Linked DNA regions of Arabidopsis thaliana. The protein of the gene in region 3 interacts with the protein of the main gene of each other region in a biochemical or structural test. Each region holds a gene or a part of one and is shown on either strand. Other genes may lie near its edges. The genes, in order: NP1, SUC1 and HIK.

What was found.
Region 1: the proteins of HIK (region 3) and NP1 form a complex in vitro, tested with the Arabidopsis thaliana proteins (one study listed by BioGRID).
Region 2: of the proteins of HIK (region 3) and SUC1, one has a biochemical effect on the other in vitro, tested with the Arabidopsis thaliana proteins (one study listed by BioGRID).

The regions. Positions count from the first base shown.
Region 1 is NC_003070.9:2,887,099-2,898,489, reverse strand, and holds NP1 (NPK1-related protein kinase 1), read right to left. Parts: upstream 7,470-11,391; 5' UTR 7,380-7,469; coding exon 7,083-7,379; intron 6,967-7,082; coding exon 6,925-6,966; intron 6,829-6,924; coding exon 6,763-6,828; intron 6,663-6,762; coding exon 6,552-6,662; intron 6,473-6,551; coding exon 6,392-6,472; intron 6,309-6,391; coding exon 6,231-6,308; intron 6,091-6,230; coding exon 6,008-6,090; intron 5,867-6,007; coding exon 5,785-5,866; intron 5,704-5,784; coding exon 5,603-5,703; intron 5,492-5,602; coding exon 5,452-5,491; intron 5,368-5,451; coding exon 5,308-5,367; intron 5,224-5,307; coding exon 5,174-5,223; intron 5,076-5,173; coding exon 4,856-5,075; intron 4,740-4,855; coding exon 4,569-4,739; intron 4,476-4,568; coding exon 4,123-4,475; coding exon of another isoform or gene 4,095-4,122; intron 3,861-4,094; coding exon 3,790-3,860; intron 3,598-3,789; coding exon 3,503-3,597; 3' UTR 3,308-3,502; downstream 1-3,307. Other genes in the region: AT1G09010 (glycoside hydrolase family 2 protein), read left to right, coding at 1-42, 127-185, 261-309, 420-650, 764-933, 1,020-1,224, 1,305-1,949, 2,117-2,344 and 1 more; PGSIP5 (plant glycogenin-like starch initiation protein 5), read right to left, coding at 7,737-8,222, 8,386-8,852, 8,990-9,737; AT1G08985 (AP2/B3-like transcriptional factor family protein), read right to left, coding at 10,856-11,161. UniProt on the Arabidopsis thaliana protein: May be involved in an oxidative stress-mediated signaling cascade that phosphorylates downstream MAP kinases MPK3 and MPK6. May suppress auxin signaling that promotes cell cycle.
Region 2 is NC_003070.9:27,049,571-27,058,938, reverse strand, and holds SUC1 (sucrose-proton symporter 1), read right to left. Parts: upstream 4,910-9,368; 5' UTR 4,606-4,909; coding exon 3,346-4,605; intron 3,260-3,345; coding exon 3,196-3,259; intron 3,057-3,195; coding exon 2,839-3,056; 3' UTR 2,475-2,838; downstream 1-2,474. Other genes in the region: SUC5 (Major facilitator superfamily protein), read right to left, coding at 1-447. UniProt on the Arabidopsis thaliana protein: Responsible for the transport of sucrose into the cell, with the concomitant uptake of protons (symport system). This transport is both voltage- and energy-dependent.
Region 3 is NC_003070.9:6,318,950-6,331,207, forward strand, and holds HIK (ATP binding microtubule motor family protein), read right to left. Parts: upstream 5,430-12,258; 5' UTR 5,167-5,429; intron 4,876-5,166; 5' UTR 4,872-4,875; coding exon 4,631-4,871; intron 4,547-4,630; coding exon 4,457-4,546; intron 4,378-4,456; coding exon 4,277-4,377; intron 4,187-4,276; coding exon 4,070-4,186; intron 3,966-4,069; coding exon 3,884-3,965; intron 3,791-3,883; coding exon 3,723-3,790; intron 3,638-3,722; coding exon 3,578-3,637; intron 3,478-3,577; coding exon 3,353-3,477; intron 3,255-3,352; coding exon 3,056-3,254; intron 2,964-3,055; coding exon 2,853-2,963; intron 2,768-2,852; coding exon 2,666-2,767; intron 2,574-2,665; coding exon 1,602-2,573; intron 1,524-1,601; coding exon 1,195-1,523; intron 1,111-1,194; coding exon 783-1,110; 3' UTR 501-782; downstream 1-500. Other genes in the region: AT1G18360 (alpha/beta-Hydrolases superfamily protein), read right to left, coding at 1-255; AT1G18390 (Serine/Threonine kinase family catalytic domain protein), read left to right, coding at 8,514-9,270, 9,480-9,514, 9,714-10,370, 10,471-10,986. UniProt on the Arabidopsis thaliana protein: Probable plus end-directed motor protein that functions in the NACK-PQR (ANP1-MKK6-MPK4) MAP kinase signaling pathway, which is essential for somatic cell cytokinesis, especially for the cell-plate formation and its expansion.

The DNA.
Region 1 (11,391 bases), 3.4 Mb from region 3:
GGGACTATACCTCCCGAGGGAGGCCAAGGTGGTGATCATGAGGTACACCTCCTCCCTCCTTCTCTCTCTCTTGGAAGTTTATATCACTCTTCTTTCTTTGCGTTGTGATTGGACTATCCATGACAGATTGGAAAAGATGTAGCTGCACAGTATGTGCAAGGTTGGGACTGGATTTGTCCAATAAGGTTATTTTTTTGTTACAAGATTTAGCTTATCGTATAGTTTAAGGCATTTCTCTCTGACAACATTTTTTCTTCTAGGGACCGGAATACTGGCATATGGGATGAAGTGTCAATATCTGTCACCGGGGTTCGTTTAGTTGGTTTACATTGTTTTCCAGAGATGATATCAATCAATATTCTCCACGGAACGTTTATAGTCATCTTCTTACTGAATGTTATAAATTGCTTTTATTGCAGCCTGTAAGAATAATTGATCCCCATTTGGTCTCAACCTTCTTTGACGATTACAAGAGAGCTTACTTGCATGTGACTGCTGAACTGGAAAACAAAAGCACATGGAATACTGAATGTTCTGTGAATATTCAAATAACAGCCGAACTCGAAAACGGTGTCTGTTTAGTAGAGCATCTTCAGACAGAGAATGTTTTGATCCCTGCTCAAGGACGTATTCAGCACACATTTAAACCAGTGAGTGGTATTGTTATCGTATATTACTTGTTACGACTTAAATTACTTATGGCTCTGAATCTGTGATGGTGGTATTGTTTATCCTAGAAACTAATGAAATATTGAATTAACAGCTCTATTTCTATAAACCTGAATTGTGGTGGCCCAACGGGATGGGAAAGCAAAACCTTTATGACATCTTGATCACTGTTGTTGTGAATGAATTCGGAGAATCTGATTCGTGGATGCAGCCATTTGGATTCCGAAAGATTGAGAGTGTTATTGATAGTGTTACTGGTGGAAGGTAAACTTTTTATATTTCAGTTTCAGTTTGGCTTGTGTAGAATGATTCTGTGGAGGCTCTACAACTTGTTTTTGTTAATTTTCCAGGCTGTTCAAGATCAACGGAGAGCCGATCTTCATCCGTGGTGGCAATTGGATACTATCAGATGGACTGTTACGTCTCTCTAAAGAACGTTACAGAACCGACATAAAATTCCATGCAGATATGAACATGAACATGATCCGTTGCTGGGGCGGTGGGTTGGCTGAAAGGCCAGAGTTTTATCACTTTTGTGATATCTACGGCTTGTTGGTATGAATCTTAAGTTATTCGCTATCACCCTTCTTCCAAAATTCATTGCCATTTCTGAAGTATACCTTATTTATTCTCAGGTGTGGCAAGAGTTTTGGATCACTGGCGATGTTGATGGAAGAGGTGTTCCAGTATCAAATCCGAATGGACCACTAGACCATGAATTATTCCTCTTATGTGCTCGTGATACTGTCAAACTTCTGAGAAACCATCCAAGCCTGGCTCTTTGGGTGGGTGGAAATGAACAAGTTCCGCCAAAAGACATAAATGAGGCTCTAAAGCAAGACCTTAGGCTTCATTCTTATTTTGAAACCCAATTGTTATCAGACAAAGATTCAGATCCTAGTGTTTATCTTGACGGTACTAGAGTTTATATTCAAGGATCTATGTGGGACGGCTTTGCAGATGGAAAGGGGAACTTCACTGACGGCCCTTATGAGATTCAATACCCTGAAGATTTTTTTAAAGACACATATTACAAGTATGGGTTCAATCCGGAGGTCGGCTCGGTTGGAATGCCAGTTGCAGAGACGATAAGAGCGACAATGCCTCCAGAAGGTTGGACGATTCCTCTGTTCAAAAAGGGTTTGGACGGGTTTATTAAAGAAGTGCCAAATCGAATGTGGGATTATCACAAGTACATTCCATATTCTAATCCTGGAAAAGTGCATGACCAGATTCTGATGTACGGTACTCCAGAGAATCTCGATGACTTCTGCTTGAAGGTAAATTTGGGATCTTAACCGTTTTAGCCTTTACTGGTGTTGTCTTACCCTGGTGCATAAATGTTACTTTTCCCCTTAACTTAATAATGCAATGTCTATGTTCGATTAATAAAAGAAACTTGAGATCATAAGTGATATATTATGACTTGGTTTTTCCTCTGTAACAGGCTCAACTGGTAAACTACATTCAGTACAGAGCTCTATTCGAGGGTTGGAGTTCGCAAATGTGGACGAAGTACACGGGTGTCTTGATCTGGAAGAACCAAAATCCATGGACTGGTCTCAGAGGTCAATTCTACGATCATCTTCTCGACCAAACAGCCAGTTTCTATGGCTGCCGTTCCGCTGCAGAGCCAGTCCATGTACAATTGAACCTGGCAAGTTACTTTGTTGAGGTCAGTGTGATTAGTTACTCTCTCTCTCTCTGACAATCACTGTGTACGAAGGTCTCTCGAAATTAGATTCTTGATCTAAATAAGAAGTGTATAAAAGTCTAATAAATTATGTAAATAATACATGGAATCATGTCCTTTGACCCCCCGCACAGGTTGTAAACACGACTTCTAAAGAGCTGTCGGATGTGGCAATAGAGGCATCAGTATGGGACCTAGACGGGAACTGCCCATACTATAAAGTGTTTAAAATTGTCTCTGCCCCACCAAAGAAAGTTGTGAAAATATCGGAATTCAAGTATCCGAAAGCAGCAAACCCAAAGCATGTATATTTCCTTCTTCTCAAACTGTACACTGTCTCAGACAAAGCAGTTATATCCCGGAACTTCTACTGGCTGCATCTGCCTGGAAAAAATTACACACTCTTGGAGCCGTACAGGAAGAAGCAAATACCTCTCAAGATCACTTGCAATGCAGTTATGGTGGGTTCAAGATATGAGCTGGAGGTCAATGTTCATAACACATCTAGAGCTAACTTAGCCAAAAACGTTGTCCAGGAAGACGAAAAACGTGATCTGGGGTTGCTCCAGAAACTCTTTAGTAGATGTGTTGTTTCTGCAGATAGCAACCGTGGTTTGAAAGTAGTGGAAATGAAGGGATCGGATTCAGGAGTTGCTTTCTTCCTTCGTTTCTCAGTTCACAATGCAGAGACAGAGAAACAAGATACGAGGATTCTACCAGTACACTACTCAGACAACTATTTCTCACTAGTTCCAGGTGAATCAATGTCTTTTAAGATCTCATTTGCAGCTCCTACAGGCATGAAGAAGTCTCCTCGTGTTATGCTTCAGGGCTGGAACTACCCTGATAGGTTTAGTGTTTTTGGTTGAGACTATTCATGTTTCATGTTTGTTACATAACTGCCTGTAATCTCGAACCTTTCAATAAATGAAACTTGCACAGGTTTTAGCAATTTGTAGCGCACTTAAATATGCACCCGACACTCACATTACACACATCTAATACCTTCAACAACCAGTTCAGAATCATATATTCAGACCAAACCTCGTGTCTACTTTTCATCACAGCAAGATAAGAGTTACAGATATATATACTAGTTGAGCAATCAAAAATCAAAAAGCCGGAGACTTTTTGTGCAAGTCATTTTCCTGGTGATGCAAACCTCGACTTCTCTCTCTGTCGGCTCATGCCTCTGTCTCTTGGGGATGATCCCAACCCTGCTTGGCGCATGATTTCTGCAATAACATAAACCACAAGTCAACTTACCAAGCTTACAAAAAGTGGATGCTACAATGTCATGTTTCTCAACATTACATGATTGCATGTTAACAGTGGTCAATGCAAAGCGCCGAATTCTAAATTCTAAATATGTAAAACTTAAAGAGAATCTTTGACATTTTTTTGCTAGATTAATAAGAGTGACATACCTTGTCGCTTTCTTTCCAGTTCTTGATCAAGCTCTTCCTTCCACTTCTTCTCTATCTCTGACAAAGCAACACTGCAAAGCCAAAACCAGCCAATTCAAGCAGATTCAGGAATGAAACAAGAAGCCTAGACTAAGTGACAGATTTAAATCGTTGCTGGTCAATAGCTAGGCTGAATTTAAACTCTACACGTTTGGAGTTGGGTGATCATAGCTTAAGATAAGCATGAATGGGACTTATTTCTGTCTTCTTGATTCCTACCGAGTTTCTAAAAGAGGAAATTAAGGAAATGTCTAAATCCTTAAAACTTAAATCCCAATTATCGCAGCCACTAACCACTGGCTTAATTCCTGCTTAGTGTCAACAACGAGACCCCTCCAGTCTGTGACCCGTGCTGATACACCATCCTGTGAAGCTTCATCACCTCCATTGTTAATATTCAATTCACGACTACCTCCACTTCCTGGGCTCTTGGAACAACTAGTTGCGTCTGTTGCTCTTGAAGGTGAACCACCAAGAGGGCCCCGACTCGGTGACCTGCTTTTTGGAGGCAGTTTCAGGAAACCACGAGCAGTGTCCTCTCTTTTACTGTTACTTAAATTACTCTCCATACAACTGGGAGAGAATGTGATCAAACTATTGTAGAATTCTTCATAGAGAGGAGTCTGTAACTTCTTTAGATCTGCAGCCTGAGACAAATACATATTCACTGCCATGTTAGTGATTTACGTAGAAAATGCAGTGAGGACAATGAATAATGTAGTATAATGTGCATGAGGGACCTTCTCATCTAAGAAAGCTTTAATTTTTGACTCGGTCAGCTCATCATCATCCTCTGAGTATGAAGGTTGGTCACATTCCATGCTCATTGTAGACTCTTTCTCTCCATTACCAGGACTTTCGTCAAATTTGGACTTCAAAGCAATGGACATATCACTTATGTCATCACAGCTCTGTACACATAGATTTTATAAGTAATGCTTACAAAACAAATTGAAACATGATCCAAACAAGAGTTGAGACTTGATCAGCCATTGGAATTCTAAATGAGAAATCATATGTATGCTACCTTCTTCAGATGACAATCTTTTTCAAGGGTAGAACTCATTTCTCCGTCAAATGTCAAGAAATTCTCATCATCTATCAAACACATATCGTCTTCATCACCTCCATTATCATTTTGTTGCCATAAATTTTTGTTTTGGATTGATTTCACAGGATCTACAAGTGAATAATTCAAACTGCCAAAGTTACACATGTCACCTACATCGTCGCAAGTAGAATCTGGACTGAAACAAAGGAAACAGACAATAAACCATCAAAATCTTTCATAAACCCACAAAATAATCTTAGAAATTTTGGTTTCAGCCAGATATTCAGAACTTACGTGCTCTTGGTGTTATTTATCTGTAACGGTAGTGGAGTGCTAAGATTGTTCTGGAAAATAACAAAAATAATTTTATCAAGATGGCTTCAAGAAAAAGTTATATGATATTCATAAGACGGTTAACATCCACCCACCAGGACAGAACCAAGATCAGTAGAAGCAGACTCCTTGTGTTTCCCCATAACAAAAGGATGCTGCGAATAAAACAAAATCAGGAATTTTACTCAAACCTTTCCAATTTAATATTGCGGGCATCACTCAAACTATTTATACTTCACCTTTAGTAGCTCAGATGCGGTTGGCCGCAGATTTGGTACCCTGTCAAGACGGATCCAATGATTCAGCAATTCCAAAGACAAGACACAATAGTAGTGAAGGAAGTTACTATTAAAAGTTCCAAACTAATGTTGCTGAAGCAAAGTAGCTTACTCCTGCAGACACTTGAGCAGAAAATCTTTTGCATCAGAGGAGAGAGTATCAGGTATTGGAGGATGTGATTTTGTTGTTCCTATGAAGAAGATAGCAGCAACCTGAAAAGAAAGTATGTCCACTTGTAATTAAGAAGCAAAATTATTCACGAAAAAATATCACCAGAAATACGAACAAATTACCTCTTTATACTGCTGACTCCAAGGAGCCTTCCCAGTCACCATTTCAATAACTGTACAGCCGACGCTCCATATGTCAGCAGAGCTGAGAACAATAGCCACAGGTTTGTGAGAAATCAAAAATATGGGACATAAGTCACCAGGACTACAATTAATAGCCACAATTGTATGAGTATCAGTTACAAAACATCTAATTTTGCATTTACGAGCACGCTTGGTTTCTTACAAGCTATGTCCAGTTTGAAGAATAACTTCCGGAGCCATCCAATATGGTGTCCCTTTCATAGATTTTGCACCAGTCATCGTAGCCTAGAGATGAAATCAAGTCAATCACATTAAATCACTCTGAAGGATATGTTATACTAGACCAACTAAGAAATAAGAGAATACACAGAACAGAATGCTTCCTGCAATATACTTTGTAGAAAACAAATTATTTTTTGACTTACCAACTCAGCTACTTGTTTGGATGCACCAAAATCAGCAAGCTTAATGCATCCTTTATTATCCACAAGGATATTAGCCCCCTGAGAAAACATAGAAACATATAGTCTCATGGGTAAGGACTCGAGATTGTAAGCACTTATAAAGTATGGAGAAAAATTGTTACCTTAATGTCTCTGTGCATAATTGCATGATTGTGCAGGTACTCCAACCCTAAAAGCAGTTGCCTTGTGTATGTCCGGACAACCTAATTCAATCGTTCTCACCACTTAAGCAATGCACACATTGTAAGAGATTGAACAAAAAAAAATCCAAGCATGACTTACTGATTCAGGAAAAGGTCCAAATTTCTCCAAGAGCGATGATATCGATCCACCGGGAACAAACTCGAGAAGGATATTCAGGGTATCATCTTCCCTCACTGTACCCAAATATCTCTAAGGCCAGAAAATAAAAAATACCTGAGTTAGATAGATAACACAAGGAAGTGTTGAATCCGTATGCATTGAGAAGGAGACAATACCAACAGTTACTTACAACTATATTAGGATGGGAGAGATTTTTAAGAAGCTTAACTTCTTCTTCAAGCTCCTGAATATGAGCCTACTTAGCACCAACACAGATAACAAACTCAATGAAGTACAAAAATCAATGGAAATTGAAAGAGGGAAAACTCGATGAAATGGATTGTTTATGAACCTGAGTCTTTTCCTTGGAAGCAAAATTGGCTGCAATCAGAACCTGAGTAGAACAAAGCTTTTGAAGTTCAGTACACATGCCAGAGAATTAGGTCATTCAAAATTAAGTCCCAATTAGCTTCAAATCCACAGCAATCAGAAAAACAAACCCTAAATTACCTGTTTGACGGCGAGAAGCTCCCCGGAGTCAAGATTCATACCCATGTACACCGTACCAAACGCGCCGCGACCAATTAACTGACCTTTCCTCCACGAAATCGGAGGTGCCATGTCTACAGTGTTAGCAGGAGGAGGAGGCGAGAAGGAGGGTTTGATAAAAATCTTCGATTTGCGGATGCAAGAGGTGATCTTATCGGCGAGAACACCGGGAAACGGAGGCTGGTTCTCCTGGTTATCGTCGTCGGAAGAAGGACGGAAAACAAGCGATCGACGAACGGAGCCGAAGAAATCTTGCATTTGAACGATTGAGGGAAGAATGCGTTTCACTGTTACTCTAATTTTGATTCATCGGTCGGCACAAAAGTGTTAACGAGTGAGAGGGAAAAAAGGCATCGAAATTATATTTTTGAAAAGAGAAAATTACTTTACTTAAATTACGCATATTATTATTCCAAATAAAAGTATGGTTATTAGTCTTTGTAAAAAACTAAAAATACTTTCACTCGAACGAAATATATATCATAACTACGTATAATGTTTTTCCTTCATAATCCACAATTACCTGTTAGAAATTAAATTCCCTTTCAAAATCTTTACGTAAAGAAAAAAAAAAAATTAAGTCTCTTGTTGAATAAGCGAGTTTGATGACTCTTCTCATTGACTTAGACGGTTCTTCTTCCTAGGATCTTTTATTCTAATTTTCCAATGATTTTCAGGAAAACCATTGAGCTTAGCCATTTTCCTCCACTTCTCAACGTTCTTCTCCATCTTAAGATTCAAACCACAATAACCTTTCAGCTTCTTAGGCATCTTGTCGTACACTTTCCACCATCTCGCATGCACCGACTCGCTTGCATACACACGTCGCGTTTTCAAGTCCCAGTTACAATCGTAGTCTCTGTAACATCGCCATGGTTTTAGTCCCAAGTAGTGTATGCCCTCTAAATTTTCTGGAAGATTGCGCGCTTTATCATGCCTGCTTTCATCACCAAAGTATTTCATCGTATTTAAACGTTTTGATAACCTATGCCACCACACGAAATATTCGTTCAGAAATCCTTGGTCTCCCCCGTTGTATGACCCGATCTTGAATGATTTAAGCATCAAATCCTCGAATAAACAAGCTGATGGCTCCAGAACCTGAAGAAAACCAGACTTTCTTATATAAAACATATGGAAAATTCGATAAAATAAAATAGTAAGAAATGGATTGATAAGGCAATATCTTTAGAAACTTAAAAAAGTCAACATATTCAAATCAAACAATCTATTGTTAAAGATATTTGTTAGTTAGATGCATTACCATGACTCCTGAGTTGAACAAGACTTTGTTATTGCCAGCGGCAGAAAGTTGAGGATAGGAGAAAAGGTAATCAATATTCTTGACGATGATGAAGTCTGCGTCTATAAACACTAGTTTGTCGTAATCTGTCACTTGCCACACACGTAACTTACTGTAGTTCCACTCATTGTAAGAACGCTTCTTGGAAAAAGGACTACGAATTCTCTCCACTCGCCGTAGTTTCCAGCCAGCAAGGCTTAGGCCAATGAGAGAGATGTTGGTTATAGAGTCATCGTGGAGGAGAATCATGTCCTTGGTTGATCCAGATTGCCTTATGCTTTGTGCTAAGGCTATTGCTCCGCATACGTATACCTCCGATGAGTGTAGTAACGTCACGTAAGCGACACGTTGGGCAGTAAATGATGATAATGTAGTTTTTTCGGATGTGAGATTTCTGTTCTTGTCTTGTATCCATGCTTCTCCTTGACCTTTAACAACGAATAAGAAATAGTTAGCGAAACATTGGAATTTTTTAACTATGCATTATGTCATCATGCATGCGACAATAAATAAATAAATAAATGAAGAAAACATATTGACCTATGAATAATAAAGCCAAAATTACCTAGCGGAGCAATCTGACATGAACCAGGAGGCATGAGAAGCTTCTGCTTCAACCTCGTAAGATCAGGCCTATAGACCCAATAGTCCCCCACGCGCTTCACGCGCTCATCACACCTAAAGATCTCATGCATAGGCCCACAAGATCCGATGAAGACAACGTACACAGTCCGATCAACATTCCTCCGACCACTCTCCACCACAAGATTCGCTGCCGCCAGATTCACCTGTAGCCTGAAAACGTCTCTTAACCCTCTCTTCTCCGAGAAACCATCGCACGGGACTTTGACAACGACGACGTCCACGTCAGCTTCGGAACCTTCCATCTTAGGGAGAGGGACTTCTGGACAACTAGGAATGTGCCACGTGTGATCCTCGTCGATCCAAACCGGGAATAAACTCGTCCATGTCAGATTGTTCGGAAGAGGATCGAGCGACACGTGGACATTCTCCAAGATCGACGTCCCGCTTGCCTCGTAGCTCTCTCGCTCGTTCTCTGCGATGTTGAGAAGACCCACTCGGATCTTTTTCTCATCCGGAAGATAGTTTCTAATGAGTCGGAGCCATATCGGAGTCCGTTTAACCGGTTCCGGCAAAGAATAACGAATCTCAACTATCGAAGGAGAAGCGATCATGGGGTTGAGCAGAAACAGAGGTTTAAAGTTTAAGAGCAAACCCAAAAACGACAATGATATTAGTATAAGATAAAACATAAAAAATCTCGTACTCGAACTTTTGCTTTTGGCCCCCATTTTCCCCCAACTCTCTCTCTCTCTATGCTCTTAGCGATGTCTATAAGATACATGTAATGTGTACGTGAATTTTTCATAATCTCATATACATCAACGTATATGTGCGAATTCATGGGTGTATGATTGAAGAAGGATCTTGAGATGCATGGACGCACGTTGGCGTAGAAGTCAATTCGTTAGGTGAGTCTACGAATAATTGTGTAATAAACTTCCATGCGCAAGTTAGGCGCCTGTTTTGTGTTGTAATTAAGAATTAGTTTGAACAACAGGTACAGGTGTATCGGATATATATCAAATTGGTGACCAAGCTTGTGATTGTTTTGTTTTTAAATAGCGATATCAAACATTAAACAAACATTGGTAGTTCATTTATGCTTTTATAACATATTTTGTTGGCTATAGCTACGTGAATTTGTTGTCGTTAACGTGGACGAAATCATTCAAATCGCATTTTAAATTATTTATTGTTAATTAGTCGGTTGATAAATCTATATCAATCGCTATAAGGTGATGATCAGGTATGGCCCATACAAGCTGATTATTGGGTTAATTATTATAAAAGTTATAAAAGTTGTAGAAGCAAACAAAAATTGCTTTCAAATTTTATCATAAAAATTATTACTATTTTATAGTTTTTGACTCTTGAAATTCTGCTGTTTGTTTTTTCGTTGGATAATTTTTTTAAGTAGATCAAACATAATTTGAAATAGGAAAAACAACAAATTAAATGATTTATTAATCTATGTGCTGAAACTCTAAACAATATATAAAATGAAACATAAAGAATTTATAGTATACATATATGTGTTAACATAATCGTCAATGGTAAGTATTTGAGTTAGTGTTAAGACGCAGGTCACAATCTATTATATATAACATGAGAGTTATTTTATTTTGTCAAAACATAATTTATTTTGACTAACAATTGTATCGATCCAAAACAAAAAATCTAACAAAATATCCATAATTTAGATGACAAATTGAAATGCAACTTTTTTGTATGAAACATATAAAACCATCCAAGATATAATTATTAGACAAAAGATTAGTTAAATAGATTTATTAAGAAATTGAATTGAATGTAAGATAACATTCCCGGTAAAAGAAATAAAATAAAATTACATAGAAAATATAAATTTGGTATTTTGCCAATATAACTTGATGACATCGCCTGCTTTAAGATTTCTTGCATCTCTAAGTTCTCCCCACCCACGTCCGATAAAATAACCTCTTTGGCTTTGTCTAAGATTTACCCAATAGGAATTGGTATTGTCTAGAATTTCTACTTGAATACCCATTCGAGGTACTGGAACTCCCGTGCTTCTTACTATGTTCTCAACCTTATCTCTTGGTAAAATCAATTTATTATCATGAGAACAATCGGTCTCTGATAGGGTTTTTACTATCATCATATTCGGATCCATTTTACTAAGTTTTTGAGTTTCTTCTAGATATAACTAAGAATGGTTTAGAAAAATGAAATATTGAGAAGTTTGAAGAGTTCAATGCATATATTTTATATACAGTTCTTGGTCAAAATTATGTTCAGTTTATGTTTATCTGAACAATATTAATTTTATTAAATACAACTCTCTAAATTTAGCAAATATAGATATATATTGTAAGTTAGCAATTAATTTTCTAAATTTACAAC
Region 2 (9,368 bases), about 21 Mb from region 3:
AAACCCGGTTAGGAAGATTATAATGGCTCGAGTCCTTACCTTGTTCTCGAGTTTATCTCCAAAACTATGTCCCATATCCGCCGCGAATCCGATAAGGAAAACCGAGACGGCTACGAGTGCGACTCCGGCGGCAATGAAAGGACGACGGCGACCGAATCTGGACTCGCATCGGTCACTGTGGTAACCGACGATCGGTTGAACAATCATGCCGGAGATAGGACCACAAAGCCACATGTAAGACGACCATTTGTGAGGGATCCCGAGGAGTTGTATGTAAGGAGTCAGAAGAGAAAGCTGTAAGGCCCACCCGAACTGTACACCGGCGGCGATTGAAGCGACGGAGATGATCTTACGCAGAGGAGATGGTTGACCGAGATCTTCCGGTGACGACTGTGTCTCTAACGCCGTAGCATTGTTGGCGGCTCTTTCTGCTTCCAAGGCTCCCATTATGAAAAGAAAAACGAGCAGACAAAAAGAAAAGAGTTTTTTTGTTGTGAAAGTGGGGATTTAGTTTTGTGATGTAGGAGATGAGACATTGGAGTTGTATTTATAGGCGAGGAAGAAGAAGGAATGAGATTATTTTCCAGATAAGAGACGCAGTTAGAAATCTCATTTGTGTGAGTGCATGACAATGTGAGGACACGTGGCAGTAGGTCATTAACTCCTCTTTGTTTTGTTTTTTTTAGTTGACTAAACTTAGTTGTTTACAAGAATATTTAAGGTTTATAATTTAACGGACGTCCTTATTTTAGTAGTATATACTTTTTAATATTTTTTGGTCAGTATCTTTACATGAGAATTAAAATGTTTCTAAGTAATTTGAATTAATCAAATATCAAATTAATTAAGTTTAACAAATTTTATTTAATGTCTATTTTTTGAAGTCATATTAAGTAATTTATTTACCTAAATAAAAATAAAGTAAAGTAATTCAACTTTTCCCCCATCTAATTCAAAAAGAAGTGCCATAAAAAGGACTTATTTTCTCTAGTGTGATCTTCTGGGTCTTTCTTGTTAACAAAAGAAGACTTTAGTTACACACAATGTTTACTGAAGGCCAAAAACAAAAACCAATTCTATTTCAAATTAAAGTCAGTAAGAAGACTAAAAGAAGGGTGAAATAGACGGTCCAAGGTTTATTAGATTTTACCTTTTCATTTATTTGGGTTTTGCACAATAATACTGTATTTGTCTATTTGATGAATTTCATGAAAAGGGAACATAGAAAATTAATGGAATCCAAGGTGACACTGTCACACTACTATCATTTGTAGTATCACAATTGCCAAACTTAAAACTCCTTAAAAAAAGTCATGTACAAAATCTTATTTACCCTCATTTTTCAAATAATTAAATGACATAATTTAAAAACCTTAATTATTTACAAAATCCAAATATATATATCAATATTTCAAAACCTCTAGTTGAATAAGAGGTTTCAATCATTTGTGGTAAATTGCATAAGAGGTAATGAAAGGATGATATGATTGTATCCTTAACATTAAATTGTGAGGCTGAATTTGTTATTTTAACACAAATCATTTAAAATGTTTAATTGAATACACACTCCGAATGTATTATAAAGTAGGATTATTGCCTATCAAAAATCTTGCCTCGGTTTACAAAAAAAATAATCAAAAATCAAAAGACTGGGCTGATACACCTTAGTCTTAAAAGGAGTATTGATCCAGGCCAAATTATAGAAGGCTTCAAGTCTGTCCAAATTGAAAGTTGTATTTTGATGTATCTATTATATTTATTTAGCCCAAAGGCCTTCATTTATGTTACGCCAGCCTTGTTTTGATCGTTTGCAACTTAACACAATAGACTGTCCTTTGTTGATTCGATGTGTTCTGAAATCAACATACTTGCCAAAGTTGCCAATTAACGAAGTCGTGACAACTGAGTCCGAATTGTATAAAATGGATATGGACTACCTGTTCTTACTCACTAATTAAGCAGTATAAACATTCTTATATTTTAGGCAAATATTCTAAAAATTGGTGGAAAAAACTTATATATAGATATGTAAAATGTTGTATCGCCACTGAGGGTTCAAGCCCGCATATTGTTGACCAAAACAATCTTTCATTTTGTAATATAAAAAATGATATACTTATAAATGATATTGTATGATCTTCAAAAACATTGGTTGTTGCCTAGTATAAATCATCAAGTTGTTAAGTGTCATACTGTGCTAAGAAACATACTGTATAGTTTATATTATAATACAGTGTGTTTATAGAATACAAAAATGTCATATTGATTGGACTAGTTGTTTGCAAGAATATTTAAGGTTTCTTATTTAATATTTAATATTTTAATATCTTCTAGGTTTATATTTTATGTACTTACATGAGAATTGTTTTAATATTTATTAATAAGTATTTTTAAAATTATTAATCATATTAATTAATTTAACTGGTATTATTAATGGTTATTTATCGCCTAAACCGTTCTAAACTACATAAATTGTTCAACTTGTTCCCTATATATAAAAGAATTGCCATACATTATTATCAAAATTTTCTTTTCTGAGGGTAGAGGGAATTACTTTCTAGTTGGATATTTGTTCTACCGAAGCAAACAGTAAACAATTGTACTCAACACACAAATCTTATTTAAGGGCAAAAAAAAAAAACATTCTATTTCAAATTAAAATAAGTGACAAAAGTTATAAAAAAAGAAGAAAAAAAACTAAAAAAGGGTGAAATACAGACGACCCAAGGTTTATTAGATTTTATCATTTTATCCATTCTTTTCTTTTATTTGGGTTTTTGCAGTTTCGCACAGTAATACTGTATTTGATGAGTTTCATTAAAAAAAAAAAATAGTAAACTAGTGGAATCCTCCCATGGTCGTTGCCTTGGGTGCGTCCGGTGGTGGTGAAGGTAAAACGGTTAACGCTAATACTCCACTAATCGCCGCTGCAATTGCTGCAACGATAAACGCCGGTAAGTTTCCACCGCCGAACAAGGCGTCGAAAGGTCCACCTCCTAGTGAGACTATCATTTGTGGTATCACAATCGCCAAATTTAAAACTCCTAATGAAAGTCCTGTAAATCAAAACATCACAAAAACAATTTAAATACCTATGTTATAATTGCATAAGGTGGATGAAACCAAAATATAATAGTTACGGTCCCACATATTTGTAACTTTAGTAACTTTAATATTAAAGATGTATATATTTACCTTGGCCTGCACCGGAGCAGCTTGAGAATATGGATGCTAGAGCAAAAGGAGTACTGAAAGTAATCTGTAAATAATAAAAAACGAATCGATTAATGTTAGTTTAAGCAAAGCAAAAAGTTTTTTAACAAGACAACACAAAAGTGTACTTACAGCTAATGGGATACCAAGAACAGCAAAGAGACTTAAAGCTCCAGCTTTAACACTAGCGCTCGGTCCGGCTAAATCACCGGCGGTTTTCCGGTGATCCTCGGCGAATTTCGTAACGAGAACCGTCATGGCCAAACCAGCGGCTAGGATGAAATTGACAATACCCCAAAGCCGTTTAGCTCCTCCTAATTTCCGACCAATCCATTCAACACCAAGTGACATGAAACCAAGAACTATAGAGTTAAACATCAATCCCATTGCACCAGATTGGACTCCAAGACTGTATAGTTTCTTCGATCGTTCATTTCCATCTGAATCTCCACCGAACACTTCACGACCCATCCAATCAGTATCGAACAAAAGAAATGGGAACCAAGCGATCCAGTTTAAGGCCGTGACGATTAGAAGCATCCACATGGGACGTTTCATGACTTTGAATGCTCCAAAGATTTCACCGAACAAAGGAACGCTTGAGGTCTTCTCGTCGTCGTCGGCATTTCGCGGCGGCGGAGACCATTGTTTGTCATTAACGTACCAAAGAGACGTGACGGTGACGATGAGGAGGAGAGTGATGGATAAGAAGAAACAAGTCTTGAGATTGGCGCAATAGATATCGCAAGCTTTTGTCATTGTGAACGGAAACATCTTGTGGAGGTTAGTGTACGAACCAGCCGCATAACCCAAAACGTTTCCAACCGCCATAAAAAAAGAGAAAAACGCGTTTGCGACTCGCGTTCTCTTAGCGTCACCGGCGGCTAAGTCGGCTAAGAAAGCACGGCAAGGTCCTTGTAAGGTGTTGTTGGCTACGTCGAGGATCCAGAACCCGAGAGCAAAGATCCCTATAGCTCGAACTTTAACCTTCTCCTCGAGTTTATCTCCCATTTTATAACCGAAATCCGCAGCGTAACCGATGAGGAAAACAGCGACGGCGACGAGTGCGGCTCCGGTGGCGATGAAAGGACGACGGCGACCAAATTTGGACCTACATCGGTCACTGTGGAAACCGACGATTGGTTGAACAATCATGCCGGAGACTGGACCACAGAGCCAAATGAGAGATGACCATTTGTGAGGGATTCCGAGGAGTTGAACGTACGGAGTAAGAAGAGAGAGCTGTAAGGCCCACCCGAACTGTACACCGGCGGCGATGGAAGCGACGGAGATGATTTTACGAAGCGGAGATGGTTGATCGAAATCTTCCGGCGACTGTGTCTCTAGAGCCGCCGCATCTTTAGTTGGTTTTTCTGTTTCATAGGCTCCCATTATCAGGAAGTAAAAAAAAAAACACGAATAGACAAAATAGAAACTTTAGAGGAAAAAAAAGAAAAGAAAATTTGTTTATTTTTCTTTTTCTTTTTTTTTTTGTTTTTTTCTGTCTTCTGTTTTTTTTTTTTAAGTGAGGTTTTTGTTTTGTGATGTAGGAGATGAGAGAATGGAGTTGTATTTATAGGCGAGGAAGAAGAAGAAATGAGAGTTTTATTTTGATTTTCTTATTACACTTGGAGATGATTATTTTTCGGATAAGAGACAGAGTTAGAAATTTTAATTGTGTGAGTGTATGGCAAGGTAGGGACACGTGTCAGTTAGAACATTAACTCTCCTGTTCTTTTGTGTTCTGTTTTTACGGGAATTTAATTGGTTTCGCTTTTTTCTTGCATCAAGTGACTTGGACGTTGATTCAATTTCTCTCTCACAGTTTTTTTTTAATAAAAAAAGTTCCGATATTCAGTACCGTTTTGTTTGGGTAAACAATAAAGTTTCTATGATTCCGATTGGGTAGACAAATTTAAACAGTGTGTATATTTATATGTACTATATCACATAAGTCACATCTGATTATCGGAGAACAATTATTTTGTTTGGTTTAAAATAAATAATTGTGAATTGTCCAAATCCCTAATTTATATGGTACTAAAAGAATGAAATATCTAGAAGATACTAAGAAATGTCTTTGATTTAAGATGGAAAAACGACTTATATGCACCCTCTATACTTAAAACTCACTAGTTCATAGCACCTAATGAGATAGATGGTTCAGGGCAACATATACACTATTCTTTTTCGGACAGTGAAGTTATATTCACGATCACCTACCATAATTAATTGGCTTATCTAGCGTAATAATAGTTGTAGATCAAATCATAACATATCCGGCTCCAATTACGGTCATGGATCAAGCATCGCCAAATATTCTCTGATCATGGATTATATTTCCGCAATATTCATAGTCTGGAGATTATCACAAAAAGATCCGAGTGGCCAAACACTTTCCAAAACTAATGCACACACATTCTTATCCGAACAGTCCCAAAGATGGTATGCTATCTTTCACGTCCATATATTTTAGAACCAAATGTTATCCTTGACGTCCAAGTCTTTCGACCCAACATCAGCTTTGTAAACATTAAATTAATTTTATCATTTTTGCATTGATCACAAACTACTGAAAAATCACTTAGTTTGTATGGTGAGTTTTTTTTTCGACGAAAAGATAGTATATTTTGGCAATGTTGTTAACTAGTGATGGACTGAAGGATATCAAATTTAATTTTTTAAAAAAAAAAACATTGTGACAACAAAATAACAAATATAGAAGCATTCAATTATATATATATATATATATAAAGGGAAAATAATCAGTATTTGTCCGCCACTAATTAGTTGTTAAATTGCCTAAAATCCAATATATATATTAAAGTTTACATATTAATTAGTTTCTGTCAAATATCCAAAATTAAGCGAATTGTGTAACGGAGTTATGTGACAGAAACTTTAACCCTAAAATTTGCTTCTTGTAATGCAAGATACGATCGCAACTCAAAACTCATTTCCCATTTATTTTGGATTGTTTATCCGACCAATTAAGCATTTTAATTTTAGTCACTACATTTTTGTCTTCGAGCTGAATAGTACTCTATATACATTTTCTCCAGTTTTCAACGGGCAGACGACTTGAAAATATATTAAAATAACCAAAGCATTTACTAGTATAACTCTTGGATTTTAGTTGTCTGTGAATTAGTCTCAAATGGCTCACATGTTTGTCAACTCCTTACGTTGTCTTTCTACTCCTCAAGTCTCAACTACTTGGACGTATGTTCCATTTGTTGTTAATTTTCACTGTAGTTTCAATTATCTCTCTATTCGCTTATTTTAACTATATGAATAGGTTGTGCAAACAATTTATTTTACCCGTCTATCTGATTAGTAACACTCCAACATATTGGTTGTGAACCGAAAACTTAACTGAAATAAAACCAAATTGGTTAAGCTGTGTTTTGGGAATCGATAAAATAAGGCAGGATTCAATGTTGATAGATATATTTGGATAGAGAAAATAACAGTCAAAAATAGGCCAATGAGAGAGGATATAACTTCCGATCAACCTAAATATATAGTAATACTATCATATTAAAAAAACATTTTGCCCAAAAATAAATAAAAATAATCATATTAAAAAAAGATTATTAGTGTTTATAGTAGACACAAAGAAGAAGAAGCTATTCTTCACATAAGAAAAGAAAAGCAACGTATATTTCGAGGGCGACTTTCTCTCTATTTTCGTTTGTTTTTTTTGAATGCCTTTCGGAAAACAAATCAATATTAGTGTAACCACAGAAGAATATATCTGAAAACATAATGTCAAAAGTTTATATGGTACATTACATAATTTCAAAATATTAATGACAGAAAAATATATACAAAATATTAAAGAAGAAGAAGAAGCAAGAGTAATTATTAAGGCCACCTAAATTATCTTTTGGAATTATAGAAATATCCATAGGATACGTACTCTTTTTCGTTTATATATAAATAATCAATCTTAATTCAAGATTCAATTAGGTAGATAACCAAATTCTGGAACTTAGTTAGGTGAATGACTATGAAATATTTTATCAGAAAATACCCTCAAATGGAGTACAAATATATATATATATATATATATATATATATATATATCTTTCTATATATATAGACATATCTTTCTATATGTGATATATGCATGAGAAATTAGTTACCAAAATATAAATCATTATAAATCACCAAATGTTATGTTATATGACCTTAGCCAAATATACAGCATTAAACATCATTAACAAGGTTCAAAACATTTGCATCACTTTTTGTAGCGTTTTTATTTATTTACTCATGACTCATTAAGTAAAAGAAAAATTACATCCACTTTATGAAATAAAATCAATGTATCCCGCAAAACAAAGTGGACACTAGATCAATGCAATTCATTTCCTTATAGTTTCAGGGACATGACAATAATACAGGTAACATGAATTATTAAAATTCAAAAGGTTTTGTCAAAATGAAATTATAATTTTTTTTCCCGAAATTATAGGGTCGGGGATCGGGACCCCAAGAGAGGATTATAGTTTGTTGTAGCCTAACGAGATCGTGGTTCGCCCCATCATTATGCACTCGTAGTTGAATATGACTCGGCAATGAGTATTTTTGCTTAATTTTCTTTTAAAGTTCAACTATTCACCATATTATTCTATGAGATTAGTCAACATATTAATCACTGGAAGATCCAATATTAATCATTTAGAACACTATAGAAGTGTAAAAGAGATCAATAAAAATAATGTAAAAGAAAAACAGAACGAAGAGAATGCTAGCTAACAATAACATTCTTAGAGAGAGAGAGAGAACGGCTTATACTTTTCGATTTTTCATCCAAAATAATATTAGCTGAAAAAACATAAACAAGAAAAAAAATAGATAACAATATTTCAAAACTGCCTTCGTCGCACAACGATTAAATATTTCACTCTGCACCACGTTAAGATCTCGTTGAATAAGTCTATTCGATATCTATGTTTTGCTTCACATAACATGTTTAATGTTCAAACAGTTACTAGTTTTTAACTACTTCAACTCAACGTAACTCTTAACAATCGAAAAAGACGAAAAATAATCTGTGGTAGAATGTTTGTCTACTCATAAATGGAATTACAATTTTGGTTTCTACAGCTTCCAAAACCAGCACAACACAAAAGTTTTTCTTATAAAGAAGGTTTACTTATTTTCAATGAACATTAAGGCCAACTAAATTTAGTTATAAAAGTAATAATTAAATATGACATATGGCGTGGCGTAATTAGGAAGTCGATCGAGACTGGACATCATTGTTGGTTTTGAGCGCATAATTGTCAAAAAGGTAACGAGGGAAGTTGTTGACTCATTGACCTCTCTAATTAGTAATTAGTTAATTACACTCCAACTATAATTGTTCACACGCTTATCTTCCAATTATTTTTATTTCATATATCTAGTTTATCTATTGACTAGCAACTATCTTCTTCTTCTTTTTCTGTGAAAAGTTTAATCTCTGACATAGTCCCTAGTTACATCTCACACAAGACATTAACAATAAACTCATTTTAAACAGAATAATCTTTTATAATTAACATTATAAATATTAATTACAATATCTTTTATAGACAAAGTAGTACCCAAGTATTGGTATCGAAAGCAAAAATGACTTGTATTTTCATACTTACTGACAAATTATATTATTGTTTTTAAATAAATATAGTTCGAACTTGTGTGTGTAATATAATCGTTTATACTTTATATTAGTGTCATTCTTCGAATTTAAGTCTACATATATTACATGTTGTTTGAAAAACATTGTATAATATATATAAATCATATAAAAAATAAATTTTCAAATCGTTGTATAAACAGTTAACTGATGCAGCCCACATAATATAAGCACCACAAAATTTCTATAAGATTATAATAATACAAATAATAAAAGTAATAGAAGAAAAAGTTGGAGGAAGATTTGTAGCTTACGATTTGTTCCAAAAAGACCTATCTGATTATTAAATCTAGCCGTTTAAACTATATATCGCCAAAATAATTGAAGTTGAATTTGTATTGATATGCGTTTAATATTTGATGTACTCACTTCTAAGTTGACAGATTGAAATATCGCATGGACTTGAGTTGTATATTCTGTTGTTTTCCTGTTGTTCTTTACTCTATTTCAACTCTTGGTCTCAGAT
Region 3 (12,258 bases):
TTTCCGCCTAATGGCTACTTCCTCATCTACCACCGTCGTCGTCGGCGAAGAAGGGGAAACACCGCAACCAATGTTCATCTTCCTCTTCTTCTGTGATGATTTTAACCTCATCGGAAACGCCTCCACCGACATTGATGATCGTCGAGTAGCTATGACACTAATCGGAACATCATTTCGATTTTGAATCCGGTTTAGTAATCTGGGAAATGAGCTTCTAGTAGCAATTACGACCGTTCCTTTACTTGAACAGATCATAAACAAAGAGAATTCAAAGACGATTTTGTATCGCCTTCTTCTGAAATTTTGAATGGCCAAAAAAAACAAAATTTGGGGTTTTTCAGAACAGAGAAAAACTCAGAACTAAAGAAGAAATTTTTTGGAGAAGCAGAATCGACAAGACAGTGAAGCAAATTGGAAAGTGAAAATCTTTCTTAAGGAATGATTCGAGAGAACAACATTAACATTTAAATAATATTTTGATTTTTTATTTGTTGGTTAGTAGCTGAGATAATTATATGGTTGTCCAGCGAAAAAGACGAGGAGAGTCTTCCAAATATGCCACGTTGGCACATCGTTGTTTCCAATAAAACGCAGTGTTTTGGACAACTTTTGGTTAGCAGTTGGACTTGAGGGTTTAGCAAGCTTGTCCTCACAAGGTTTAAGAAATCTAGACCACTATATTAAACATAATCAGACGAGTCTGGTAAAGCTTATTTAATCAAATTCAGAGGAGACAAAGAAGTGTCGTGTACTTTTACAAATCATAAACACACAATAAGTCTTCATAGGTGAAGAAGATTAGAGATGTTGTCCCAACCAATGTTCCACTGTCTTTTATCTGAAGGCACTGCGAAATTGAGCTCAAACATCTCTTTAGAGATGTTGCCACTTTCACAGAATCCAACTAGCTTCGCAACTATCTCTGCACTCTCTTGCACGTGCCTTGAATCATAAGGATCAGTCCATAGCTTGTTCACGAACTGAAGTTTCCTCTGTTTCCCTTCCAATGGCACATCCCATTTCATATACAGCTCCTCTCTCTCCTCAGGCGTCAATCTCGAGTTAACCCTTTTCGCCAAAAACTCTCGCTCTCTTCTCAATGCTTTTATACTGAAAACGAAACAAGACCATATTAGTTGAAGAAACTTTTACAACAACATTTTTCCAAGTGAGAGTTATTCATTCATTCATTACCTTGATGATAGAGAAACCACAGATTCATCGCAGTTTCGAGCTGGAGTTGCGTTTCCTACTTCTGCTAGATGTTGTTCTAACCAAGTTAACCGTCTTAGCTCGACTTCCATGTAGATTTGATCGGCTTGGTCACCTTTGAACAGTAGGTAGAATTGTGTCCTGTGGATTATGGAGACATGGCAGACATGCCACAGCTCTATGATCTGTTGTCTTTCCTCTATGAAAGTTATATGCCACGCCACTTGATTCTGCTCTTCATCTTCCATTATCGTGTTCTCCTCGTTCTCTACACTATATCCAGCTCCATCATTTGCTTCCAACTCAAGCACCTGCGTAAGTTCAAAACTGATGAGAAAATATAAAAGGAGGAAAAAAGGTTTATTTATGGGTTGTGATCTTTATCTAACCTGACAAACGAGAAGTTGTTTCTGGTACTGTAGTTTAGCTACTCGTTCTTTGAGTTCGGTTACGTATGCTCTTATGCTTCTTACATTCTCCTCTGCTGCGTTTTGAAACATTTGCTGCATTTTCTTCATGTTCACTGAGCTTGATCTTCTGTAGCCTGGAGTACCTTCTCTTGACGAGACATCTCCGCTTTCTTCTCCTTTCTGTGGAGTCTCTTTCTCAGACCCCTGTGGTGTCGTCGCCCCTCTAGCTGCAGAACTGTTGTTTTCTTGAGGAGCTTTGTTCTCAGCATCACAATCCAAGACTTGCCTAGAAGCTGAAAGCGGAGAGCATGGAGATTTCAAGAAGTTCTGGCGGTTGGATGCGCTGCTTGGTGTCAGAGGAAGAAGCTTCTTCTTCTTTGATTGATGATGATGATTCTTTGTCTTTGGAGTCTCATCTCCAGCACTGATATTGCTCGGAAGAGACATCACCAACTTATCTATTGACTTCTGAACGCTCTCAAGTTGCTCCTCTAGATTCGCAATGGTGCTTCCTTGTGAATGGAGCCTTGTTATCTCTTCCTTGAGATTGGCACTTACGCTCTTGTTAGGAGCTATGACATCTCCAACCTCTTTAAGCATTGCAGATGGTTTAACAGTACGCATTTCCCTTATCTCTGCTTGAAGCTTAGCTATCGTCTGAGCTGCATCTTGATTCCCTAGTCTATGGCAAGCTACTTCCTTTTGTAACACTTCAAGGGCTTTCGTTGCTTCCTCCCCTAACTGTTCTTGAAGGTGTTCGAGTTTGCGGATTTCATGCATCAATGTAAATGGAGCAGTTGATGATTGCCGTATCATAGATTGGCGCATCGTAGTCTTTCTTGCTCTCTCATTCCGGTTTAGCGTTTTGTTCTCCGAGCTAGGCGTTACGGCAACAGAATAGGAAAGACATTTTCTGACCGGTGGGTCTGGAGATTCAAAAGGATTTAAGCCCTGAGATTCAACAAAAGGTTTAGTTTAAACTTCAGCCAACGCTTGTGAATATATTTAGTACAGTAGATAGACAGAGAGGTAGATTAAGAGACCTTATTTTGTTGCTGATCCCCTTGAAGCTTTTGGCGTAACTCCTCAAGTTGAATTTGTGCATCATCTCTTTGTCTTCTAAGCTCTCCGATTTCCATTTCCATCTGAGAATGTCACAAAATAGCCATAAACTAAGTACCAAAGCTTTGGTTCAATTATATATTTTGGTGATCTGAAATGGACAGAAACCTGCTGGATCTTGAAATCCTTTTCTGTCGATGGACCAGGGGTGCGACGCTCGGCCTCCAATCTAGCCACTTCTTTCTGAAGATGTTTCACTAGTTGCTTATCAGAGACAACCTGTAGATAATAGACAGGAAGTAAATATTTTAGTTTGTTTTCATCCAAAAGGGCACTAAGATGAACCAAAAGCATGGAACAAAGATCATTACCATGTTCACGTGGGCATTGTTTGTAACTTCCTTGGCTCGGTTGGCGAAGTATAGAGTATTTCTTGATTGTTCAACATGAGCCAAAGCTGGACTCAATGTACATATAATGGCTGTTCGAGCATTCCCACCTAGTGAATGCTGTAAAATCCTAGTAAGCTTGGAGTCTCTGTAAGGTATATGGCCGCTTCTTTTCCCCACACTATGAAGAGTTCACAGATTCAGATTAAATAAGTTTCTTACTTAAAAAGTATTTGAGATTGAGATTTTAATCTCTCAGAAAATATGTAAGTACAGTACCTTAATTTCCTTATGACAGTTGTAAGTGTCATTAGACTTAGATTGATATGACAACCTTCCCTGAGTCTCGTTCCATCTGCCTGCGATTGTGATGCTCTTTCGCTTCCTGCTAAGTCCACAAAGTTCTGCAATACATTCACACACACACACGCACTAAGTCCACAAAGTTCTAGTTAATCATTATGAAAAAACAGAGAAATTGAACAGAGAGGGATCAATTTTTACCAGACTAGCCATATATGACCTCACACAATCTGAATTTTCGCGGTGAGTACTTTGTATTGTCTGTTTTGCCATCAAGAACATGTTATTAGCATTTGCAGAGTATATGTATCTGTGTTTTAAAGAATCAATGAATTAAGATCATTACCAGTCTGATTATTTGGTGTGACCGCGAGCTAGTATCATTCAAAGCAGTTTCTCCAACTTGTCTTTGAGCTAACACAAAGAAAATAAACACCAACAGTCAGTCTTACTATCCAGAATGAACCAGGAGAATAGAATTACAAAAAGCCAAGTAATTCAAGTTACCTTCACAAATGCTAATCAGATGCCGCAAATGGTTATCGTTATTAGCTGTTTCTTCAACCAGTTTTTCAACCACAGTACCTTTCTGCAATTGTGGATAAATAGGTTATTAGATCAACGAAAGTCTAGACTGAATCAAGGACATAACATCAGCAAGAACATAATCAATGTATAAAATTAGTATGATACCTCTGGATCATCAAGGAGTTTAAGGGCACGTCCCGAATCTGAATTGAGCAGATCTCTGACATTTTCATTATATATTTCCAGACCAGAAATCTTGATAGTAAAATCTCTTTCAGGGGTCTGGAAACAACAGTGAAACAAATAAAGGTATTGGTCAGAAGAACTGCATTTGACGTCTAAAACATTGACTCTGACCAAAGCAGTGCTTACCTTAATTATGTGATTGTAAATATCATTGACAGCTTTCTCCGTTACTCCTCTCATGGTATATGTCTTTCCACTGCTTGTTTGTCCATATGCAAATATTGTTGCTGAATCATTAAAAAGGGAAGTTAGTCATCTATGATAAATCCGAGTAAAAGACAGAAGAATCATTAAAAAGACAAGTACCATTTATGCCCATCAAAGCAGACAATGCAACATTCTTAACACCATCTTCATACACATTCTCTGTTAAACTCTCTGGTCCAAAAACTTTATCTGAAATCAAAAGAGTGCATTATTAGCCATCAAAAACCGCAGGACTTGAAGAGTTGGAAACATCAGATATAAAACTTCAATTACCAAATGTAAATGAGGACTGATGATGCAAACGTTCTTGAACTTGTGGTTTAGACACAATGGTGTGGTCATTTACACATTCCCAAGCAACTTGGTCTTTAGCTAACAGTTCTCTCTTATTCATTGGCCTTAACCTTACAGTAACAACAATCTTCTCTTCCCTGGATCTTGAGCTTCCACCTGGTGTTACAGCTGGTGTTCTGTCCATCTTCGAAACCGGAGTTCCCGGTGTTTTTATAGTCATTTCCCTACAAAATATTCCCAATTTTTTCATCAGATCTAATAGATCAACTTAATTCTAAGCTTAAATTCTCCCCCAAATCTATCAGATCTATGGAAAAAAGTTCATATAAGGCAACATTGTGCAGACTTAATCCATAAAAAGGTAATCTTTAGTTTTTGCTCATAAAAGGAAAATTTAGCTTCTTCAGATTAATTTCATCAAATCCAGAAATGTTATATTCAAAACTTCCTAAAAACGTCATTTCACTAAATAGTTCTAACAAAAACAATAGTTAAGAGAGATCAAAAACACTTACAGAGAAAAAAACGAACAAATGAATCGGAGTTTTACTCTCAGATCAAAGAGAGAGATCTCAGGCAGCTAAGAATGTAGAATCGTCTCAGATCGACGATAGAGATAAATTAAAAGAATAAAAGAATATTGAGAGGAGAAGATAGTGAGAGCGGTTTCTGGGTTTCGTGTATCTTTGTGGTAGAAATGATGAAGAAGAAGAACGGGTTTTGGGGGTTCTTTTGTCTTTACGGAAACCCGTGCAGAGTGAGATTTTGAATCTGACGAACCTCTAACGGCTAGTTCTTTCCACGTTTCTTTTGAGGGGCTTTTATTTTTAGCTTATTTCAAAAGCTCTCCCCACGTTTTAATTTCTTCTAGAAATCACCTTTACCTCAATTTTTTCCATGGATAATTTTCTCATTTACTGTTTCTGCAAATTTTCTCTATAGATTTTTTTTTTTTCTGTCAATTATCATTTCATCTTTAATTATTACTTCGGTATTTTGTTTTTTTTCTTAGCTGCCAATTTTGATGTATTTTGTCTTCTTGTAATTATTATTGGCCCTTAACACAAAACGGTCATTTATTGTTATTTTCTTTTTCATCCTCTACAATTTTAATTTATTTGCAGATCAAGCGGGAAATAGTAACTACTAACCAATTTGGCGTATAAAAATAGTAAACTACGTTTACACCCTCATTATACTTCACTAGGCAGAACCTCCCCTCTATTGCAGCAAGTGGGATTGGAATATTATTATACGAGTCTTTGAGGTGTGGAGTCAAGGTCTTCGGCATGAGATTTTGAAATATCTGCAAGCCTGTATATTTCGTTTTTTATAGCAACTTTAGTTGAATATGTGTATACAAATATTAAGAAAACAACATAAATGGATAAATAAACTCAAAAGATAACACATGTATTCTCATTTTCCTTGGTCAAAAATTCAAACTTCAAAAAAAAAAAACAATCAATTCTCCATCTCTTTGCTATTTATTCAATGGTGTGTTTTTGATTGGATCACAAGTCTATCATTCAGTTGACTTCATAATAAAGTATATCAAAACCATGTTCACTCAGATTTTGATGCAATTATATGCTATTGGACTATTTCACCAGTCTGCAATTTCTTTTACAAAATTATGATTGAAGTCCTTAGTGAGGTTTAATGAAATACTAACATAAATTTTCACATAATACTCTTTTGTAATTCGATTAACGTTTTTTTTTCTTTTTGTGTATAATCATCAGTTCTCTTCATTCCTTTATATATATAATGTTTTCTTATATTCATCAATTTTATAAGTTTGCAGTCCTGTTATATATTGGAAGCATAAAATCGCAGTGGAATTTTCAAGAAAAATTGTTGACATACTTAAAAATGTTCTTTTGGGTCAAAGAATTAAAATGTTTATAACTTACAAATAAGTCATTAATTAACCTTAGTCGAACAATTGCATTTGTATGTAACTATGAAGTCGATATTTATAGGTATCAACTATCAAGTCGCTTTCAGTCTGTCCAAAAAAAAACACACTATAGTTTCCAACAAGTCAAATAACCATTAAAGATCTGTATGAATCTCTGACCGTTCATATACATAAATAATTTATTTAGGATGTAGTTATAATGTAATCACTAATCAGCGATCATAATCTGTTTTAAATTCGCCGGACTGTAATTAATAAAAGTCGTCACCGATCATTTTGACCAATCTTCCATAAAATCCCCAAAACCTCTCACCAAAAAAAAAAAAAGAAGGCTTTAGTTGTCAAAACCCAATGTCCATCTTTTTTTTCTTCATCAGCTTCGTCGTCTTCTCCGTCGCTGACCTCCCGTCGTGCTTCTCAGCCGATCAACAGTACGAGGAGTGTCGCTCACGTAATCTGACATGTGGATCTGGACACAGGGTATTCGAGAGTACCACGTATCCGTTCTGGGGTGGATTCAATAAACCCAAATTCTGCGGTCATTCGTCATTCAAACTCTCCTGCGAGGGTGATCAAAACCTAACCCTAGCGATCGGGAACATCACTCTTCGCGTTGTTTCTGCGAATCTGGAGGATCATAAAATTTCCGTTGCCGATGATAGTCTACTAGACGGAGGTTGCCTAAACATTTGGAACTTCAACGGGAAGAATCAGTTCACATTAGACTCCAACACCGAGACGATCGATGTATTCGTCAACTGTTCCGGCGTAGCTCCGTTGCAGATTTCTTGCGAAGAAAGCTACGAGGATCCGGTGACATATCATGTCTTGCGATCGTCGGATTCTGACGAAGGTTGTATGAAATATGCAGAAATTCCGATGCTGAGGTCTGCTAAGGACGAGCTTCAACGGTCCGAACTAACTTTTGTGGAAGCTTTGAGAAAAGGATTCGATTTGAGGTACATCATGGAAGACAAAGCTTGCCGGAGATGCATTGATTCCGGTGGGATTTGTGGTTCGGCGTTAGATTCGGAGAGTTTCCGGTGTCTATGTGCGGACAGACCTCACAACTCCTCCTGCGACGATAACACTAACCAAGGTTAGTCGTTTATCATTTAGATTCAAGCTTTTACTTCTTCTAAGATTAGTACCACTTTTCTTCTAAGATTAGTACCAATTTCTGTTCTTGATGTGATTAACATTTAAGATTAGTTTCGTCAGACTCCAGAACGTATACTTTGACCAAATTGGTCGAGAATTGTTATCGTCATTGACCAAAACTTTTAATAATCTTTAAAGACACATTTTGACTTTTTCAACCTGGATTTACGTGTCCAGTTTTCTGTTTATCATTTGTCCCAAGTATTTATGTGGTAGTCTTCGCTCCAAAAATATTAGGGATTACACAGCTGGTGTTTTTGTAGCGCGAGCATGCTGCTGGATCAAATCTTGGGCTTTTTGGGTCGAACCTACACTAGTTATTATCGATCCGGTTTTACTTTTTCATGGTCGGTCTTAGAAGAAGCAAAAAAACGACTTTTTAATTTTCTTGCGTTTGAAGTTTCTGCTAGTAGACCGACGACGACTCTAACCGACCCTCTCTTGAAAAAATCTCTTTTTACACAAAATCCATTATACTTCCACTACAATGATTTTTCCAGTTTAAAAAAATAAAGAGCACTAAAATTCCCATAAAAGATTTTTTTTGTGGGGTCATCTTCAACCTCAAAGGCTCAAAGAGACAAATTAAAAGTTTCAGTTTTTAAGTCAAATTGCAGTGTTTATTTTCTTTACACCAAGAAAATTAGTATTATACTCTTTCAACACACTAGTTGAACAAACATTTTAACTCTCACCCACTCCTCCTGAAAATCTTTGATTTCTTTCTGTTTTGTTCTCTTCTTCTTGTTTCTTCTTCATCTAGTTTTTTCTTAAAAAATGAATCCTTCAACTCCAAGTTTACTCTACACATCCATCTTCTTCTACTTCACAATAATAGCAACTCAAACCCTCTCTCTTGATCCAAAGTTCAAGGCTTGTGAGCCGAAATCATGCGGCAAAGGTCCCCAGATCTCCTATCCATTTTATCTATCTGGAAAGCAAGAATCTTTTTGTGGTTATCCAAGTTTTGAACTCACTTGTGATGATGAAGAAAAGCTCCCTGTTCTCGGGATCTCCGGTGAGGAATATGTCATCAAGAACATATCTTACTTAACACAGTCGTTTCAGGTCGTGAACTCAAAGGCTTCTCATGATCCATGTCCCAGACCGCTGAACAATCTTACCCTCCATAGGACTCCTTTCTTTGTGAACCCTTCTCATATCAACTTCACTATACTTTACAATTGTTCCGATCACCTGCTGGAGGATTTTAGGACATACCCTCTTACTTGTGCTCGAAACACGAGTCTTCTTCGATCTTTTGGGGTCTTTGACAGAAAGAAACTTGGAAAAGAGAAACAAATTGCATCCATGTCGTGCCAGAAACTAGTGGATGTTCCTGTTTTAGCTAGTAATGAGTCTGATGTGATGGGTATGACTTATGTTGAGATTTTGAAGAGGGGTTTTGTTCTGAATTGGACTGCAAACAGTTGCTTCCGCTGCATCACCAGCGGCGGGAGATGTGGAACTGATCAACAAGAATTCGTATGCTTGTGTCCTGATGGACCTAAACTTCATGATACTTGCACGAATGGTAACCACTTGTGAATTGACGTCTAATTGATCTTCTGACATGTTGTCCCTTCCTTTTTCTTTGCTTTAGTTTTGTCAATACATTGTTAAAGGCTTTTTTACAATCTCTGACTGGTTAAGTAACTTTTAGTCTCAATCTATATGTTCTTACGAATGCTGAAATCTGAAAGTCCATTGACTGGTTTATTCTTCTCTGTTTCTTCATTCCAGGCAAAAATGATAAAAGAAGGAGAGTGATAGTGAAGGTACTCATAGGTAAAATTCTTTAATCTTCTGTTTTGGGAAAAAGACTTTGATATGTGGTTATAATAACTAACCAGTATTTTAATAGATTCGATTTGATTTATGATGCTCTTCGCACCATCAAAAGATATAAAATTCTACTTTGGCAAAGTTATGTTATGCTCTGTTGTTTCGTTAATCATCCCGCTCAAGTTTTAACAGATTACAAAATCCATCTCAGGTGCATCCGCTGCGGTCGTAGGATTAATAGCTGCGAGCATATTTTGGTATGTATACCATCGTAGAAAAACAAAAAGTTACAGAAATTCTTCAGCATTGCTTCCAAGAAACATCTCATCAGATCCATCTGCAAAGTCTTTTGACATCGAGAAAGCAGAGGAATTATTAGTCGGAGTTCATATTTTCTCTTACGAAGAACTTGAAGAAGCCACTAATAACTTCGACCCATCTAAAGAACTCGGTGATGGAGGCTTTGGTACTGTCTATTACGGTAAGCTTAAAGATGGACGAAGCGTAGCCGTTAAACGGTTATACGATAACAACTTCAAAAGAGCAGAGCAATTCAGGAATGAAGTTGAGATCTTAACGGGTTTACGCCATCCAAACCTCGTGGCTCTCTTTGGATGCTCCTCAAAACAGAGCCGGGACTTACTGCTAGTGTATGAGTATGTTGCAAACGGCACGTTAGCTGATCATCTACATGGTCCACAGGCAAACCCTAGCTCACTTCCTTGGTCTATTCGGCTCAAAATCGCTGTTGAAACTGCCTCTGCCTTGAAGTATCTCCACGCCTCCAAGATCATCCACCGTGATGTTAAATCCAACAACATCCTTCTCGACCAAAACTTCAATGTCAAGGTCAGTAACTCACACTGGTTATTACTCAATCTGGTGGGATTTTATCGGATCATAATCTTAACTTCTTTCTGTGTTTTTTTTACTGTTTTCGACATTTTAGGTTGCGGATTTTGGACTCTCTAGACTGTTTCCTATGGATAAAACGCACGTATCTACCGCTCCACAAGGAACTCCGGGATATGTCGACCCGGATTACCACTTATGCTATCAACTCTCAAACAAAAGCGACGTGTACAGCTTTGCGGTAGTGTTAATGGAGCTTATCTCTTCACTTCCAGCAGTCGACATCACAAGACCGCGCCAAGAGATCAACCTCTCGAACATGGCAGTCGTTAAAATCCAGAACCACGAGCTCCGCGACATGGTGGATCCGTCACTTGGGTTTGACACGGATACAAGAGTGAGACAGACGGTGATCGCTGTCGCTGAGCTGGCGTTCCAATGCTTGCAGTCGGATAAAGATCTTAGGCCATGTATGTCGCACGTGCAGGATACGTTGACGAGGATACAGAACAATGGATTTGGTTCGGAAATGGATGTTGTAGATGTGAACAAGAGTGGACCGTTGGTTGCACAGTCTCCAGATAGTGTCATTGTGAAATGGGACAGTAAGTAAAATTAGTCGCACGGCCACTAACATTGTATGTGTTTATTATTTGTATGTTTAAAATTGTCAGTTAACAGTTAGAGAATGGTGTTCGTGTTCTGTATTAGATGATATTTTTGGGAATGTATATAATGATGATCTTGTTCCGATTCCACCTAGAGAGGGACCGTAACATACAAAACTTCGTGATTGGGCCTGACCGGACTAAATCAGCAATTTTGTATTGCTATTTGCTGCCAACTGAAACTATTTTTTTATTAGTGGTTAATTTTATTTTTTTACGGAAAAGGTAAAAATATTTGAGACATCAAAATAATGATGGTAATTAAGTAACGCCAGCTCAGCGACGGCGATGACTATCCACCAATTTAACGTCAGAAGAATATATATATGTATATTGAGCTTATCTTCTGTTTCCAATGTAAGTGGAAAGTCCACTGCTGCAATCACAATGTAAGACCTGCATCTATGAAGTTTTAATGAAAGACACTTTCAGAGAAAAAAAAAAAAAACTTCTGTTTCCAAAATTTCCTAATTAAAGCACACCAATTTGGGCATGGATGCTTTACTACTTCTATTAATGAACAAGTTAAAGAGTAAGTTGTCTTGAATGAATGAAATTGCATGTGAATCAAATCCCTCCACCATACATAATAGATAATCTATAGTAATGGCCCAACTAAACATTGACATTTGTTGCAACCTAACTCTTTCCTAAAAGGAAGAAAAAAAAAAAAAAAAAAAAACTCTTTCCTAAAACTCAATGTGTTTGATCATCACAAGGACAAACAAAGGAAATCTCTAGTATGCCGATTAAAGTGAAAATTTGTCTTCACCAATATAAATAATTTGGTAACTTAAACTTTAACTAAAGATTCATAAATTGGCGTCAACTTATGTAAAAGAACCTTCATATATACTTTCGTTTATCTCCCTATATTTTTATACATACACATATTTATAGTATTTTTGTCGATTAATTGGCATTGGCCATTTGGAAGTTATAATTAAGTTGGCAAATGGATGTGATCTCTTACCCTATACACCTACATAAAAAACCCTCCATGCAAAACATTAATGGATGTTTTCATTAAAACAAGTTTTGATATCAACTTAGTTTGACTAGCTACATCCATTTCAATATTTTCTTCCCAATATTAATAATAAATTTAAAGATAGACCACTAGTTCTTAACCTCACACCAAACTGACTAGAAATGTTCTTCCCCCTTGCAAACAGAGAAAGCCTAATGGAACCCACGACCAAACATTGGTCCTACTT